2 linked regions of the Tamandua tetradactyla genome follow. Each later gene encodes a partner of the first gene's protein in a complex. Links are inferred from orthologs where the notes say so. Each region holds a gene or a part of one and is shown in the gene's direction. Other genes may lie near its edges.

Region 1 (7,221 bases):
ATGGAGGGGACTGACCTGAAGAAGAGTTGGTGCAGGAAGATAAAATTCTTACTGAGTGACAGGAAGCTGAGGTTGCACTGGTCTGAATGCCACATAAACAGACAGGTAAACGTTTCTGGCAGATACCTGAATAAGGGCTCAGAGAGACATATGAGAACTGCAGAACTGTGGAAACAGAGAGAAAGGAAGAACTAACTGACCAGGAAAACCACAGCATCTTTAAAAAACAAACAGAACAAAACAAGAGCTGGCCAAACTACAGGGAGTTGCCGAAGCGGACAAGAACGGGAAGGAAACAAAGGGGAGCTAAGAGGTGCACAGGGTCATCTAACCCACCGGGTGCTGCACTAAGCACTCTACATCTGACATCTGAGCTTGTATCTACAGTAATGCAGCAACCTGGGAAACTGAGGCCCAGAGAAATCGTGTCACTCACAAGGCTCACTACCTTGAGGACAGGACCCAGAGGCTCTAACAGCTCTAAAGACAAAGGCTGGTGGAATGTCCTCTGGTCTGATTTGAGATGGAGGCATTTCCCACATTCTAAGGTATGGAAGGTAACACAGATTGATATGCTAGTTTGGAACCAAGGAAACCATCTCGGTTAACTTTCAACAGCTGGTTTACTGAATCAGCGCTTAAGGAATAATGAAGTAATTAACATCAAGGGAGTGAGAGAACCTTCTCGACCAAAGGGGGAAGAGTGAAATGAGACTAAGTGTCAATGGCTGAGAGATTCCAAAGAGTCAAGAGGTTATCCTGGAGGTTATTCTTATGCATTAAGTAGGTATCACCTTGTTGTTCAAGATGTAGTGGAGAGGCTGGAGGGAACTGCCTGAAAATGTAGAGCTGTGTTCCAGTAGCCATGTTTCTTGATGATGACTGAACAATGATATAGCTTTCACAATGAGACTCTGATTGTGAAAACCTTGTGTCTGATGCTCCTTTTAGCTACTATATCAACAGAAGAGTAGAACATATGGAATAAAAATAAATAATAGGGGGAACAAATGTTAAAATAAACTTAGTTTGAAATGCTAGTGGTAAATGAAAGTGAGGGGTAAGGGATATGGTATGTATAATCTTTTTTTTTCTCTATTATCATTTTATTTCTTTTTCTGTTGTCTTTTTATTTCTTTTTCTAAATCGATGCAAATGTTCTAAGAAATGATGAATATGCAACTATATGATGATATTAAGAATTACTGATTGTATATGTAGAATGGAAGGATATCTTAATGTTTTTGTTAATTTTTTTTAATTAATAAAAAAAAGTTTAAAAAAAAAGGAATAATGAAGTGTCTGCTCAAGTCCACGTTCCTGCCTCCAAACACAGACATAACCAAAATAGCTAGAAATTGATGTTTTTTTCTGTCAAATTAAAAAGCAAAACAGTTTACCCCAAACTCCAGAAGAGAAGTACCAATTAATACGAATAGTTCAATAACTATTAATGCTGGGAAATTCAACTTATTTTTTCTGTTGACAAAATTTTAAAAGAGCCAGCATGGCAGCACACAGCACTCCCTTCACCCACAAGGTAAGCACAAAGGTACTCTACCTTCTATAGCCCTGATGGGTGACAGTACTCCAAAATATGACTATAAGCAGTAGAATACAAGAGCATGCTATGAGACAATATTTTTAGGCTGCAATTTCAGATAAATAAAAGCAGAATGTCTGTTTGAATCCCCTTCTGCCATTTATTAGATGTGACTTACGGACAAGTTACTTAATCTCTTGGTGTCTGTTTCTACTTCTAAAAGGAGATAATAGTAGTACTCACCTCCCAATGTTATGAAGATTAAATGAATAAATATGTAAAGTACTCAGAACAAAGCCTTCTATAAAGTTATTGCTGAAATGAGTGTCACTATCATTAAAAAGTTCAGCTATTATTTTATTTATTTATTTTAAAAAGTGCTTGAGTGCATTTATATGGTTTGATCTAAGATGGTAAATTATTTACCTTAATAAGACCATCTCCTTGGGCAAAACATGGGTCCTGCACAAAATCAAGCACCTGAAGTGTCAGCTGATGCCACAACCTGAAAAACACAAGGCCCTCAAGAAGTATAAATTAATATTGCGTCTCAGACACCTTCTGCCTTCTTCGTCCTATCAAATAAATACTAAGCAGTCAATACTGTATAGAAAAAAAGAATACTAAAGCAAATGCTAATCAACCTGAGTTCTTTTTCTGGCTCTGCTACTAAAGCTTAATCACTTAACCTCTCTAAGACTCAGTTTTCCCAGCTATAAAGTGGACACTTTTCTAGGCTACCTCAAGGGTTACTGTGAGGTTCAGTTAGAAAAAAGGACTTTGGAATCATACAGATCTAAGCTGAAAATCCCGGCTCATCTATTTATTTATTTATTTTTTATTTTTTTTCTTTTACATGGGCAGGCACCGGGAATCGAACCCAGGTCCTCAGGCATGGCAGGCAAGCACTCTTACCTGCTGAGCCACCGTGGCCCACCCTCATCTATTTATTAATTGTATCTCAAGGTAGGTACTTAAACAAAACTTCAGTTTCCTTATCTGTGAATGGAGCTGAGTAAAGGATTAAATGAGCTAAAACACAGAATGCCTAGAACAGTGCATAGTGCCCAGTCTTCCAGAAACTGAAGACTAATATTAACATTGTATACATAATTTAAAAATACAAAATGCCACCCAATACAGGCAATCATTAACCAAACACCAATACTTTCTTTCAAAAAACTCCTAATAGTAGAAGACTGACAATATCATCAAAACATGTAACCAGCACCCATCTGAAAGGCACTATTCTAAAGGCTATGACTGTTACCTGGGAGGTTATCACAGAAGGGGTACTTTTCTATGGAACATCTCTAACTCGATGGTGGCAATGTATTCTGTGTCCTATTTATTCTAAAAGAGGTTGGCGCTTAGCCACAGAAAATTTAATTGTTCTGAAATTCATCCTGTTCCTAGGGACACAAAGCCCAATGGGAAATGCATATATAACCAGTTGCAGAATCAACAGGGAAAAGAACACAACCGCACTGGCCTCTGGTTTATATTCTCCAGGTTGTGAAAAAGATAACTGTAGATACGGTCATACTAAAACAAGTCACCAGGATTTGTTACTCAAAAGAGGTGGCAGCCTGACTCCGAAAGGCTTGTTTGACTGGGCTCAAGAACTAAAATCACAAGCCAGTTCAGAATCCCTTCTGTAAGGGGAGAAAGAAAGGGGGCCCACAAGCTTCAATCACAGCTTCTCAGTGAATCCCAGACCCCAAAACCCTGGCAACCGCCCTGGTCCTCAGCCCTCGTGTGCTGTCCCCCGTCTTCCCTTGGGTCCAGCCCCCTTGAGGGTCCTCAGACGCTCTGCAGTCCAGAGCGTCCCCACCCTCCTCCGCCTCCTCCGGACCTCTCCCCTCATCGCTCTGAGCACCCTTCATCCATCAAGAGCCGGACCTCCCCCCAACTCCACCCCATGACCGGCCAGGCCGCCGCTCTTCATTCCCGGGCGCCCGGGTCCCCTCGGTTCAACGCTCACTTCTTCGTGTACAGCTCCTCCAGACGGTGCCACACGGCGGCCTGGCCGGGCCCGGAGCTCTGGCTCTGCTGTAGGAAGCCTGGTACGTCCTTCATGACGACAGAAGAGTCCGGGACAGCTGCACAACCGAACCCAACAAGATGTGAGCGCCGCGGAGACGGCCGCCGGAAGTGCTCGCTCATTTCCGGCGCCGCGCCGCGAGGAGCATGCCGGGAGCACTGTAGGTCAGCCTCGGGCGACTGCTGGTTGTCAAGGTAACCCGACGCTTCGGCCCTGGTACTCAGGCTCAAAGCTGAACCGACCGTTTCTCATCTCCAATAAGGATCAGTGGCCTTCCTAGTAGGGTTCTTGCTTGGATTTAATGTCAATGTAAAGCCTGACACACTGCGCACACTTGTTAGTGTCGTCATCACCATCCTAGGTGGAAACGGTTGGCGTATCGGGTAAAGAAATGCAGGCACCATGTTTGTCCGGTAATTCAACCGACCGGAACCCTTCCTCCCCTGGGTGCGACCTGGGTGGGCACAAGCGGGCGACGTCAAGGCCGCAGGACACGCGCTCTGGCGTGTGCCCGAGCACGCAAGGGCGGGGCCAAGGGCGTAAGGGGGCATGACCGAGCACGCAGGGGGCGGGGCGGGGCGCGCAGCGCGGCGCGGTGGGGCGGGGCGGGGCGGTCGGGGACGCCGCCGGCTGCGGAGGAAGATGGCGCTGTGGAGCCGTCGCGCAGGTTCCGCCCTAGGGAGGGGGCTTCTCGGCTCCCGCTGGCCTCGGGGCCGCCTGCCTCGGTTAGTCCGGGAGCCGCCTCGGGACGTGCGGGTTGGAAGCCAGTTCCACGCTCGGGGGCCTTGGAAATTCGCCCTGCCTTAAAATGCCTGCTCTCGGCCCGGCGGGGCGCGGGGTCACGGCGTTGTGGTCACGTGGAGATTCCGTCCGCCCTTCCTTTTAAGTTTCATGTGGCTTGGCGTTATTTCTGTGTAGTCCATCCCTTTACCTGGTTTAGGGTCCCAGTGGCTGCTCCGTGGTGTACTCAAGCGTTCCTTGGAGGTGGTGCGCGTCGGTCGCTGCGCACGCCATTCTGGGGACTCCCCTTACTCGCCCCTTACTTTTTGGATCAGTTCCTAGCGGTGGGACTGCTGGGTCATTTAACACTTTTGTGTCTCCCACGCAGCAGCAAGTGCTCATCCACGTGCACGCGGTAATTGTGCTCTTGGGGGTCCTCATCTAGGAGCCGGGCCTACCAATGGAAGAGTCTTGAGGCCCAAAGTCGCTCATCATAGAATTATTTATAGCGATAAAAATGGAAAGAAACCTAAATGCCCAATAATGCACAACTGTTTAAGTAAACAACGGAACGTTGCTTGACGCCGTTTTACGCAGCGGCTGGAGCGCCGGTGGCGAGGCTGTAATAAAGGGATCTTGAGCTCTCGCTCTGGCAGGCGCTTCCCGGTGCCGGTCAGGGCAGGGTACGGGACAGGTAACGCTCGTTTCCGCGGAGCTTCTTGCACCGTTCGAGCTGACCTGCGCCGGCTGTGTGGCCGGGACGCGCCTGAGCGGTCAGGTACCGGGCAGGAGGCCGCCCGGCCGGCACGAAGCGAAGGGGGCGGAGGGCGGGCCGAGCACCGGGCCGTGGTGCGCGCTCGCTGCACCCTGGAGTTTCTGCCCCTCGGCTTTTGGGCTCGGGGCTCTTTGGGGTTACCCTTTGTTTCCCTCTGTGAGGTCTCCCCCAGCCCGCACCCGTGTTCCCCCTCTCAGGGACCCTCGGCTTCCTGCCCCCAGTCCGATTCGCAGCACACGGAGTGTACTTGCTTTGCGGAGAGAAGCGAGCACGGAGAGGCGGAGCAGGGACAGCTCGCTTGTCTGTGGCCGGCGACCAGGTGGCCTGAAGTCAGGGTCCCCGGGCAGGGCAGCTGCGCGAAGGGCGGGGAGAGGTGCAGGCGCCCAGGCGAGGTCCCGAGGAGCGGCCGCTGGGCCTGCCCTGGGCTCGCCCGCGGTGGAGGCGCGGCGCAAAGCAGAAAAGGGTTCGAGGCCCTACGGGTTAGGGCAGAGCTGTGAAACAGGGAGTCTTCTGTTGGACTGAGATAGGGAAGTGGTGGGAGGTCAGGGTCGCTGGGGCGGATCACAAAGGTTGTGTGTGTGTTGTATGAAGACAGTAGGTTCTCTGGGGGAGTGGAAACGACGATCACGGATGCGAGCTGAGGGTTAGGAAAAATCACAGCAGCAAGGGACTGGTCTGGTGAAGAGTGTTGGCTTTGAAAGAAGCAAAGAAAAACACACAAAAGAAAAAGCACACAGAAAAGTGAGTTATGACCATGCCAGCTGCAAGATAGATTATGAATTGTCCTGACACGCAGCTTAAAAATATTATGGTTTTAGGATGTTTATTTCTGGTGAGTATGAGAAATAATAAACATTTATTTCTAGCATGATGAATAAATACTTAAGAGTTTCTTGTTTTTATGTTTATATTTACATTCGAGTCATCGTGTACTTTGAGAGGGCTGTCAAGAGGACTTTCAGAATCTTTCCTTCAGGGTGGAGGGATCTCAGTACAGGCTGTCAGTGATGTTGGGAGGAAGAGTCTACATTTAGAGCTGTCGTGGGGACGGCCTCTGTGCAGAACATGAGATGTCGGAGTCGCTCTGCAGGCACTGAGGTGTCGTGGGGAGGGTCTCTAGATACTGAAGTGTCATGGAGAGCATCTATAGACTCACTGAGGTGTCATGGAGAGGGTCTTTCATAACCTGATATGTCAATGAGAGTGTTTGTGCAGACAATGAGTTCTCTTGGAGAGGGTCTGTATAGACACTAAAGAGTCATGGGGAGGGTCTGTGCGGACACTGAGGTGTCACGCAGACATGGAGGTGTCATGGGAGGGTCTCAGTGTAGACGCTGAGGTGTCATGGGAGGGCCCCTGCAGATATGGAGGTGTCATGGAGAGGGTCTCAGTGTAGACACTGAGGTGTCATGGGAGGGTCTCAGTGTAGACGCTGAGGTGTCATGGGAGGGTCTCAGTGTAGACGCTGAGGTGTCATGGGAGGGTCTCAGTGTAGACGCTGAGGTGTCATGGGAGGGTCTCAGTGTAGACGCTGAGGTGTCATGGGAGGGCCCCTGCAGATATGGAGGTGTCATGGAGAGGGTCTCAGTGTAGACGCTGAGGTGTCATGGGAAGGTCTCAGTGTAGACGCTGAGGTGTCATGGGAGGGTCTCAGTGTAGACGCTGAGGTGTCATGGGAGGGTCTCAGTGTAGACACTGAGGTGTCATGGGAGGGTCTCAGTGTAGACGCTGAGGTGTCATGGGAGGGTCTCAGTGTAGACGCTGAGGTGTCATGGAGAGGGTCTCAGTGTAGACGCTGAGGTGTCATGGGAGGGTCTCTGAGATTATCGTATAGGCCATGAGAAACTCTGGGATCTGCCCAGTCACTATGTGTTGAAGAGTGCTTTGAAAACGATTGCTTTTTCTTTCTTTTCTTAGTATATATGTTATACCATACAATTAAAAAAAAAGTTAAAAATAAAGAGTGTAATGTAGAAACAAAACTAAAAAAAATGGGTTTAAGGTATTTAAGTTAGTTTTTTAATACTTAAAGAACTTTGCTATCCACATATGTAGATCTTTTTTCCTTGTTGCTTTAATTTCAAATTGGTTTATAAAACTTAACTGTGCAAATAGTGGCTTTACAATGATTAAAAAAGA
Region 2 (7,323 bases), on another chromosome or scaffold:
CCAACTTGAATGTATGTTGAAATGCAGGTTTTGATTCATTTGGTTTGAGATAGGGCCTGAGAGTCTGCATTTCTAAGGTATACCCAGGTGATGGCAATGCTACCAGCCCATGGACCATACCTGGGAAGGTGAGGGTGGGTTGAGGATGGAGCCTTGGGGTCCAGAGTAAGAGCAAGGTGTGGCTTTCACTCAGAATCATGAAGGCTTTGGATTCTCCTCACTTGAAGAGTAACTTGATCTGGCCTGTTTTAAAGGAACTGTACAGCCTGCTGTGGGGCTAGACTGTATAACAGTGTAAGCCATTAAAACCTATTTCAAGGCCTCAAATAGCCAAAACAATCTTGAAAAGGATGACCAAAGATGGAAGACTCACCCTTCCTGCTCTCAAAACTTAATACAAAGCTGCAGCAGTTAAAACAGTGTGGTCCTGGCATAAAGATAGGCATATAGATCAATGGAATAGAATTGACTGTCCAGAAATAAACCCACACAGCTGTTGATTGTTGACAAGGGCTCCAAGTCCATTTAATGGGAAAGTAAATGCCTCTTCAACAAATGATGCTGGGACAACTGGAAATCCATCTGCAAAAGGTGAATCTGGACCCTTTCCTCTCATCATATACAAAACAAGTTAACTAAAAATGGAGCAAGGATATGAATGTAAGAGGTCAAATGATAAAACTTTACAAGAAAACACAGGGAAATATTTGCAGGCAATGGAGTCTCAGATTTTATACCAAAAGCATGAACAACAAAAGAAAAAATAGATAAACTGGACTTCATTAAAAAAAAATGTGCATCAAAGGACATTATCAAGAAAGGGCAAAGACAACCTATAGAATGGGAAAAAACATCTGGAAATGATATATCAATCTGCTAAGGATTTAATATCCAGGATATAGAAAGAACGGCTACAACACAACAGAGAAAGGACAGAACCCATTTGAAAAAATGGGCAAAGGATCTGAACAGACATTTCCTCGAACAAGTTATACAAATGGGCAATAGGCACATTAAAAGATACTCAATATCATTAGCATGATTACTTTACATCATTAGTTAAAGAAATGCAAATCAAAACACAGAGAGATACCACTTAATGCCCACTAGCCTGGATATTATTTAAAACACACCCACACCCACACAGAAAATAACGTATTGATGAGGATGTGGAGAAATAGGAACCTTCATATACTGTAAAATGGTTTCAGGCCCTCTGGAAAACAATTTGGAGGTTCCTCAGAAGGTTAAACATAGAATTACCTGGCAGACTCTGAGATTCCCCTTTTAGGTATCTATGTTACTAATGATAGCGGCGACTCAAACAGATTCTTTGTGCACCATTGTTCATAGAGGCATTATTCACAATAGCCAGAAGGCAGCCACCCAAGCGTACAGGTAAAAAAAATGTTACCTGTACACACAATGGAATGTCATTCAACCAAAAAAGAATGAAGTTCTGATGCATGCTATAACATGGAGGAAACCTGAAGACATTATGTTGAGTGACATAAACCAGACACAAAAGGACAAATATTGTTTTATATCTCTTACATAAAATACTTAGAATAAGCACATTTACAGAGACAGAAGGCAAAATAGTGGTTACTAGGGGTGGGGAGAGGGAGAATGGGAAGTTATTGCTTAATGAGTATGAGTTTCTGCTTGGGATGATGAAAATGTTCTGGAAATAATAGTGAAAGTTACACAATAGTGTCAATGTACTCAATGTCACAGAATTGCTCATTTAAAAATGGTTAAAATAATTTTTATGTTATGAATATTTCACCACAATGAAAAAAATAATAAAAATAGCCTATTGCAATAATCCAAAAAAGAGATGGGTGTGGTTTGGACTGGGGGAAGCGTGAGGGGTGATGGTGGGAGAAGAGTCCTGGTGCTTCAGGGATCTTGAAGGCAGGAACCAGGCTTTGCTGGTGGACGGCACATGGAAGGTGAAAGGTAGGAACCTAGGGATGACAAGGATTTAGGCTTGAAACAGAAGAAAATATAATGTCCACTCCCTGAACTGGGGAGGGCTGAGGGAGGATCAGTGTTTGAGGGAAGAATCCATGAGATATGATGCATTTAAGATGGTAATTAGACAGGACTCAAATTTGGAGAAAAGATCAAAAGGAAGAGGGAGAAGTTTGAGGGCTGAGCGCTGGGACACTCATACTTTGAGGGCAAGGAGATGAGGAGTTATCTGTAAAGAGGATTGAAAAACAGTGGCCACTGGGTAAGAGGAGAACCAGGCATTCCTTGTTGTAGTTGTATCGGTTATCTACTGCTGCATAACAAACCACCTCAAAACTTAGCTGCTTAAATCAGCAACTCTTTAGTAGTTCTCACAATTCTCTGGGTTGACTGGGTGATTCTTCCATTCAGTATGGTGCTGCCTGGGGTCCCCAGGTGGCTGCCTGGTTGGGGGCTAGAGCATCCGAGATGGCGTGCTTATATGTCTAAGCTTATATGGGTGGTTCTGACTGTCTGTTGGGGTGGCTCGGTTCTCTTCCAGGTGGTCCCTTTTCCTTCAAAAGACCAAACTAGCTTCCTTACTGCATTGCAGCAGGACTTGAAGAGAGTGAAGCTGAAGTTGTTGGGTCTCTCAAGGCCTGCTGTTGGAGCTGTCACATCCTAGTGGTCAGAACAGTAAGGCCAGGTCAGGTCCAAGGGAGGGGAGACAGACCCTAATTCCTGATGCATCAACCTTCCATCAAGTATACAGGAGGGGGTGAATTGCTGGTTGCCATTTCATTTTCAGAGACTAGCCATCACAGATATGACTGCTCTCTATTTACAATTTATATACTCTACTAAAATGAGAATTTAGGCCAGCAGTGCAGTAGACATTGAAATAAAAACTGGAGGGTGCTGGGTGCCACTCTTGGTCTTCCATGAGCCAACCACATGACTTTCAGCACCTCCTTTCACTTGCTTGGGCCTCAGTTTCCTCATTTGTTCCAAACAGGTTTTTCAACACAAAGCCAAAAAAAAAAAAAAAAAAAAAAAAAGCAAATGAGCACTTGGCACAGGTGCAGGGCACAGCCAAGTGCTCAGGAAAACTCTCATCACTTTCTCCAGTCTTCAAAGTAGTCTTCCACCAGAGGCAGGCGTTCTATGTGCAGGGGCTGGGGAAGCTCTGGGGAAAAGCATCTCACTCTGCAGATTTCACAAATAGCAGGAAGGAATCTTTCCCAATTCAAAGAACTCAACAAATCTCTTTTCCAAAATGCGCTTTCCTCTGTGTTTGTCTTCTTTGTTATGGTTAACTTCTTGGGTGTTGAAATATTTAAGAATCTGGCAGAGGGAAGTTTTTACAGAGTCTCCTTCTGTCTTTTCTGGCTGGATAACAAGAACCCCACCACCTGCGTGGATTGAGCATCCAGGTGCCAGTTCTGGACTAGGCGTTTCATGGAGCTTATCTCATTTATTCCCCACCGCAACATGACCAGGGAGGTATCATTCCTGTGTTGCAGGAAAGCAGACTGAGGCACAGAGAGGGTAAAGAACTTGCCCAAAGTCACAGAGTTGGTAAACAGTGGGGCCAGGGTTTAACCCCAGGCCAGAGATGTTGGAGGAACCAGAGAAAATTCCCATAACCCAAGTCAGTGGAAGTCTGCAGGTCTGTGTGCTTCTCTGGGGAAGGGATACCTCCCGCCAAGGGCATGGGGTGGGAGCCAGATAACGGACCTATGCCTTCACTGAATCTGGGTCTAAGGGTCCTTGGTCAGCCCATTTAGCCCAAGGGGGACGCGTCTGTGTGTGTGTGTGTGTGTGTGTGTTTGCGCGCGCGCGCGCGCGTAGAGTACAGGCAGGCCTGGTGGAACGAGGGGTTCACTCATGGGTGCGGAAAAACAGATTGACCCTTCGACCCATCTATCACTTGACTGGGCAGATCCCATCGGGTTCCCGCGGCGCCCGGCCTCTGCGTCCCCTGGGCGCACAGCCTGGGTTGATCTCGGCTTGGTGCAGCTGCCGGAGTTCTAGAAAGCTCCCAAATCGAAACCAAAACCCGCGGCGCCGGTCTGGGCTCTGACAACAGACCCCGGTCCTGTCCTACCCGCCAGACACCCCGGGTGCCAACATCCACCCTGCGCCCCCTCCCCTTTCTGGATCAGGGCAGTCTCCAGGAGGCGACTTCCGAACGGGAAGGGGCCCCCAGGAGTGGGCCGTGCCGGGGGCGGGGACAGGGGCGGGCCCGCGGGACACCCAAGAGCTCACCCTTCCGCCGATCCTCTGCAGCTGACTACCCGGAGGGATGGCAGCGCTCAGCCTTGGCCGCGGCGTCTCTCGGCTCCTGGGCTGTCTGCACCGGGCGAGTGCGCCGTGGCGGGCGGTCTCGGGGCGCATACGCGGCGCCCCCGACGCAGCGCAGCCCGGCTCCTACCTGGCGCTGAGCGCGCAGGCGGCCCGGGAGCCGGCCGCCTTCTGGGGGCCGCTGGCAAGGGAAACGCTTGTGTGGGACACCCCCTACCACACCGTCTGGGACTGCGACTTCAGCAGCGGCAAGATCGGCTGGTTCCTGGGAGGCCAGTTAAACGTCTCGGGTGAGTGGGCTGTGCGGGATCCCGGGCGCCCGGTGGCAGCAGCGGCCCCCGGGCCGAGCGGGTGTCACCCGGCGACGGGGCCACCCCGCGTGAGCGCCCTTCCGTTGTTCTGTCCGCCGACTCGAAACAGTGATGCCACCCGCTCCATACGCCCACCGGCCCCGGATCTCATCCCGGCCAGAGGCTCCAGTCCCCCGGTGCCGAGTCCACACCCGCAGAGACTCGGCGTCCCCCTGGACTCGGCTTCTCTGTCTGCCCTCTCCCAAGTTGAATTCTTGGGTTTCACCGCGCCAGGAGGACAAGCCTGCGAGGTGCAGCGGCTCACTCCTGGGTCACAGGGGGCTGGGATGGAGGGTGCGGGGCGCCCTGGAGTACGGGTTATCCAGCTCGAGTCCCTGGGGCCCGAGGCGAAAACGAAAGGCTTCCGGCGGTTGTCACTGTCAGCTGCTTCGCAATCGGGCGGAGTCGCTGCCTGGGAACTATGTCCACGTAAACAAACCGGCTCGTGGAGGGTGGCCCGGAACGGGACAAAGCCCGGCCCAGCCTCTGGAGTCAGTTACTTCCTTGCTCCCGGCCTATGGGCGGGAAGAAAGGGGCAGCGGGGCCTCCCTCTTGCCGGCAGCAGTTGCGCCCCAAAGCCCCAGCGCCTGCCTTAGACCCGGCCTCGAAAGAGACTGAATCCACCGCTGATTTGTTAAGATTTGGGGTTTACAAGGACTGACACGTATCCCCACCCCAATAAACGGGGCTAATTTGGCAGCAAGGCGAGGGCGCCCAGGAACTGGGGACAGTGGCCAGTTGCCTGGAGCAAGGCTTGGGTGTCTGGCCTCTGGAGGAGGGGACTGCAGCCAGGTAGTAGGAGGGGGTTGTGCTGCCCCGAGGCTGGGGACCAGGGTCAGGTGGGGGTGCTGTGGGTTAAGAAAAGGACTGGCATGTTTTCATGGCATAGTCATGCTCTGACCTAGACCTGTCCTAGTTATTCTACTCCTCTTAACCCCTCTTTGTGAAATGGGGGCAATAATGTCCACCTCTTAGCATAGTTCCTAGCACTTATTGGTGATCAATAAGTGATCAATTTTAATATATTATATTCAGAGGTGGCCATAAAATTATGGGGAGTGTCTTGCAGTTATTTTTCTAATGAAGAAATTTAAGGAAACTTTGGGCCAGTTTTTTTTTTTCTTCATCCTGTGTCTTACTTGGCTGGTTTAATCAGAATTGGTCTCTTACTAGATAAGTGTGTTTTCTCTGAAATTGAGTCAGCAGCAGTATCTCTGAAAATTGCTTAGGTTGGCAGAGCTGGGAGAGCGTGCCCTTGAGGGAGGAGAGCTGCTGGTGAAGGATGGGGAAGGAGTGGGCAGTTCCTTGGAGGTTGCTGTGGCGACTTCTTGCTCTCAAATAAAATGTACTGGACCTCTGGGCCCTGCTCTGTTCAGGATCACGGTGTTGTCCACAAGTGATTCTGCCTTCCTATTTCCACCATTTATTTCCTCCAAAGAAGAGGTGGTTACCTTACCCAGAAATTGAGCCTCAGAAAACTGACTTGTAGGATAAAACCCAGCTTTTCAGCGCCATTCTCACCTCGAAAGTGTGTGCTAAACACCCACCTGGCCAGGAATAACCCCTGCCTTTTGCCAGAGGTGACAGATGAAAAAGGACCAGTCCAGTCCATGACTGCCCTGGAGGACACCTGGAAAGGTGGGACAGATGTGAACTCTTTGGCCTGATGTGCTTGTCCTGTGGGATAAAGTCAGCCTGATGGGGGCTTGTCCAGGGGGTGTCACATTAAAAAAAAAACTTTTTATTTTGAAATAACTTCAGACTTACAGGAAAGTTGCAAAAAGTGATGCAAAAACTATACAGAGAACTCCAACATACTCTCTGCCTAGTCACCGGATTTCTCAACTATTAGCATTTTGCCACATTTGTTAATCATTGTCTATCACCTGTCTTCTAAACCTTTAAGAGAGCAAACACGCTCACTTATGTAATCACCTTAATTACAGCTATCAAAATCCACAAATTAAACATTGATGTAAAGCTGACAGTCTATTCCAGCTTTTCACTTGCCCCAATGATGTTCTTTTGGGCATTTTCTCCTCTATTATTAGTTTCAGCTCAGGTTCATGGATTGCACCTAATTGTCATTATCTTTTTAATCTTGTTTTTAAATTGTGCCAACAAACATGTGCTAACAAATATAACATAAATTTCCCATCTCAGCCATCTGCAAGGGCATCAATTCTTTTTTTTTCTCAAGCAAAACTATATATTTTTTGAGCATCTCACAATTAACAACATATTCCTCATTGAGTCTTACTCTTTTTTCCTCTCTTTGACCTCAGATATATAGAGAAATTGGCAAAAGATAAATAGTATTCCTGGTTCATAGGTACTGGATAAAAGGCCCCCAGTAATCAGAGTCCTTATTCTTAGGTAGGGAATTACAAAAACTTTATTCATGTGATTGCCTAATAATAATCACTCACTCTTTCAATAAATATTTACTATGTGTCTGATATGAGCCAGGCAACCTGATAAGCCCTGAGAACACAGCAGTGAACAAAGCAAGAAAAATTTCACAGGGCGTCACTTCTGAAACTTCCATTACCCCTTCAGGAATACCAGGGGTTCTCAAACTGTGTTCCTCCACCAGCATCATCTGGGAACTAATTAGCAATGTAAATTCTCAAATCCACCCTATACTCCTGGAATCAAAAACTCTGGGGACAGGGCCCTGCATCTGTTTTAGCAAGCCCTCCAGATTACCCTG

Evidence for each region.
Region 2: the proteins of SIRT3 (region 1) and ACSS1 are in contact, whole or in part, in a crystal structure (PDB 3GLT), measured with the Homo sapiens proteins. The link is inferred for Tamandua tetradactyla from reciprocal best matches to the Homo sapiens genes SIRT3 and ACSS1. Residues at the interface, in NP_036371.1 of Homo sapiens: Gly145, Ala146, Gly147, Thr150, Pro151, Asp156, Phe157, Arg158, Ser159, Glu177, Phe180, Gln228, Asn229, Ile230, His248, Ile291, Val292, Phe293, Phe294, Gly295, Glu296, Pro297, Leu298, Gly319, Thr320, Ser321, Leu322, Glu323, Val324, Glu325; in NP_115890.2 of Homo sapiens: Ser640, Gly641, Lys642, Val643, Met644, Arg645.

Annotation. Positions count from the first base shown.
Region 1 is NC_135335.1:80,340-87,560, reverse strand, and holds the start of SIRT3 (NAD-dependent protein deacetylase sirtuin-3, mitochondrial), read left to right. Parts: upstream 1-4,200; 5' UTR 4,201-4,229; coding exon 4,230-4,312; intron 4,313-7,221. Other genes in the region: PSMD13 (26S proteasome non-ATPase regulatory subunit 13), read right to left, coding at 1,970-2,048, 3,528-3,709.
Region 2 is NC_135327.1:35,089,954-35,097,276, forward strand, and holds the start of ACSS1 (acetyl-coenzyme A synthetase 2-like, mitochondrial), read left to right. Parts: upstream 1-4,240; 5' UTR 4,241-4,261; coding exon 4,262-4,550; intron 4,551-7,323. UniProt on the Homo sapiens protein: Catalyzes the synthesis of acetyl-CoA from short-chain fatty acids. Acetate is the preferred substrate. Can also utilize propionate with a much lower affinity. Provides acetyl-CoA that is utilized mainly for oxidation under ketogenic conditions.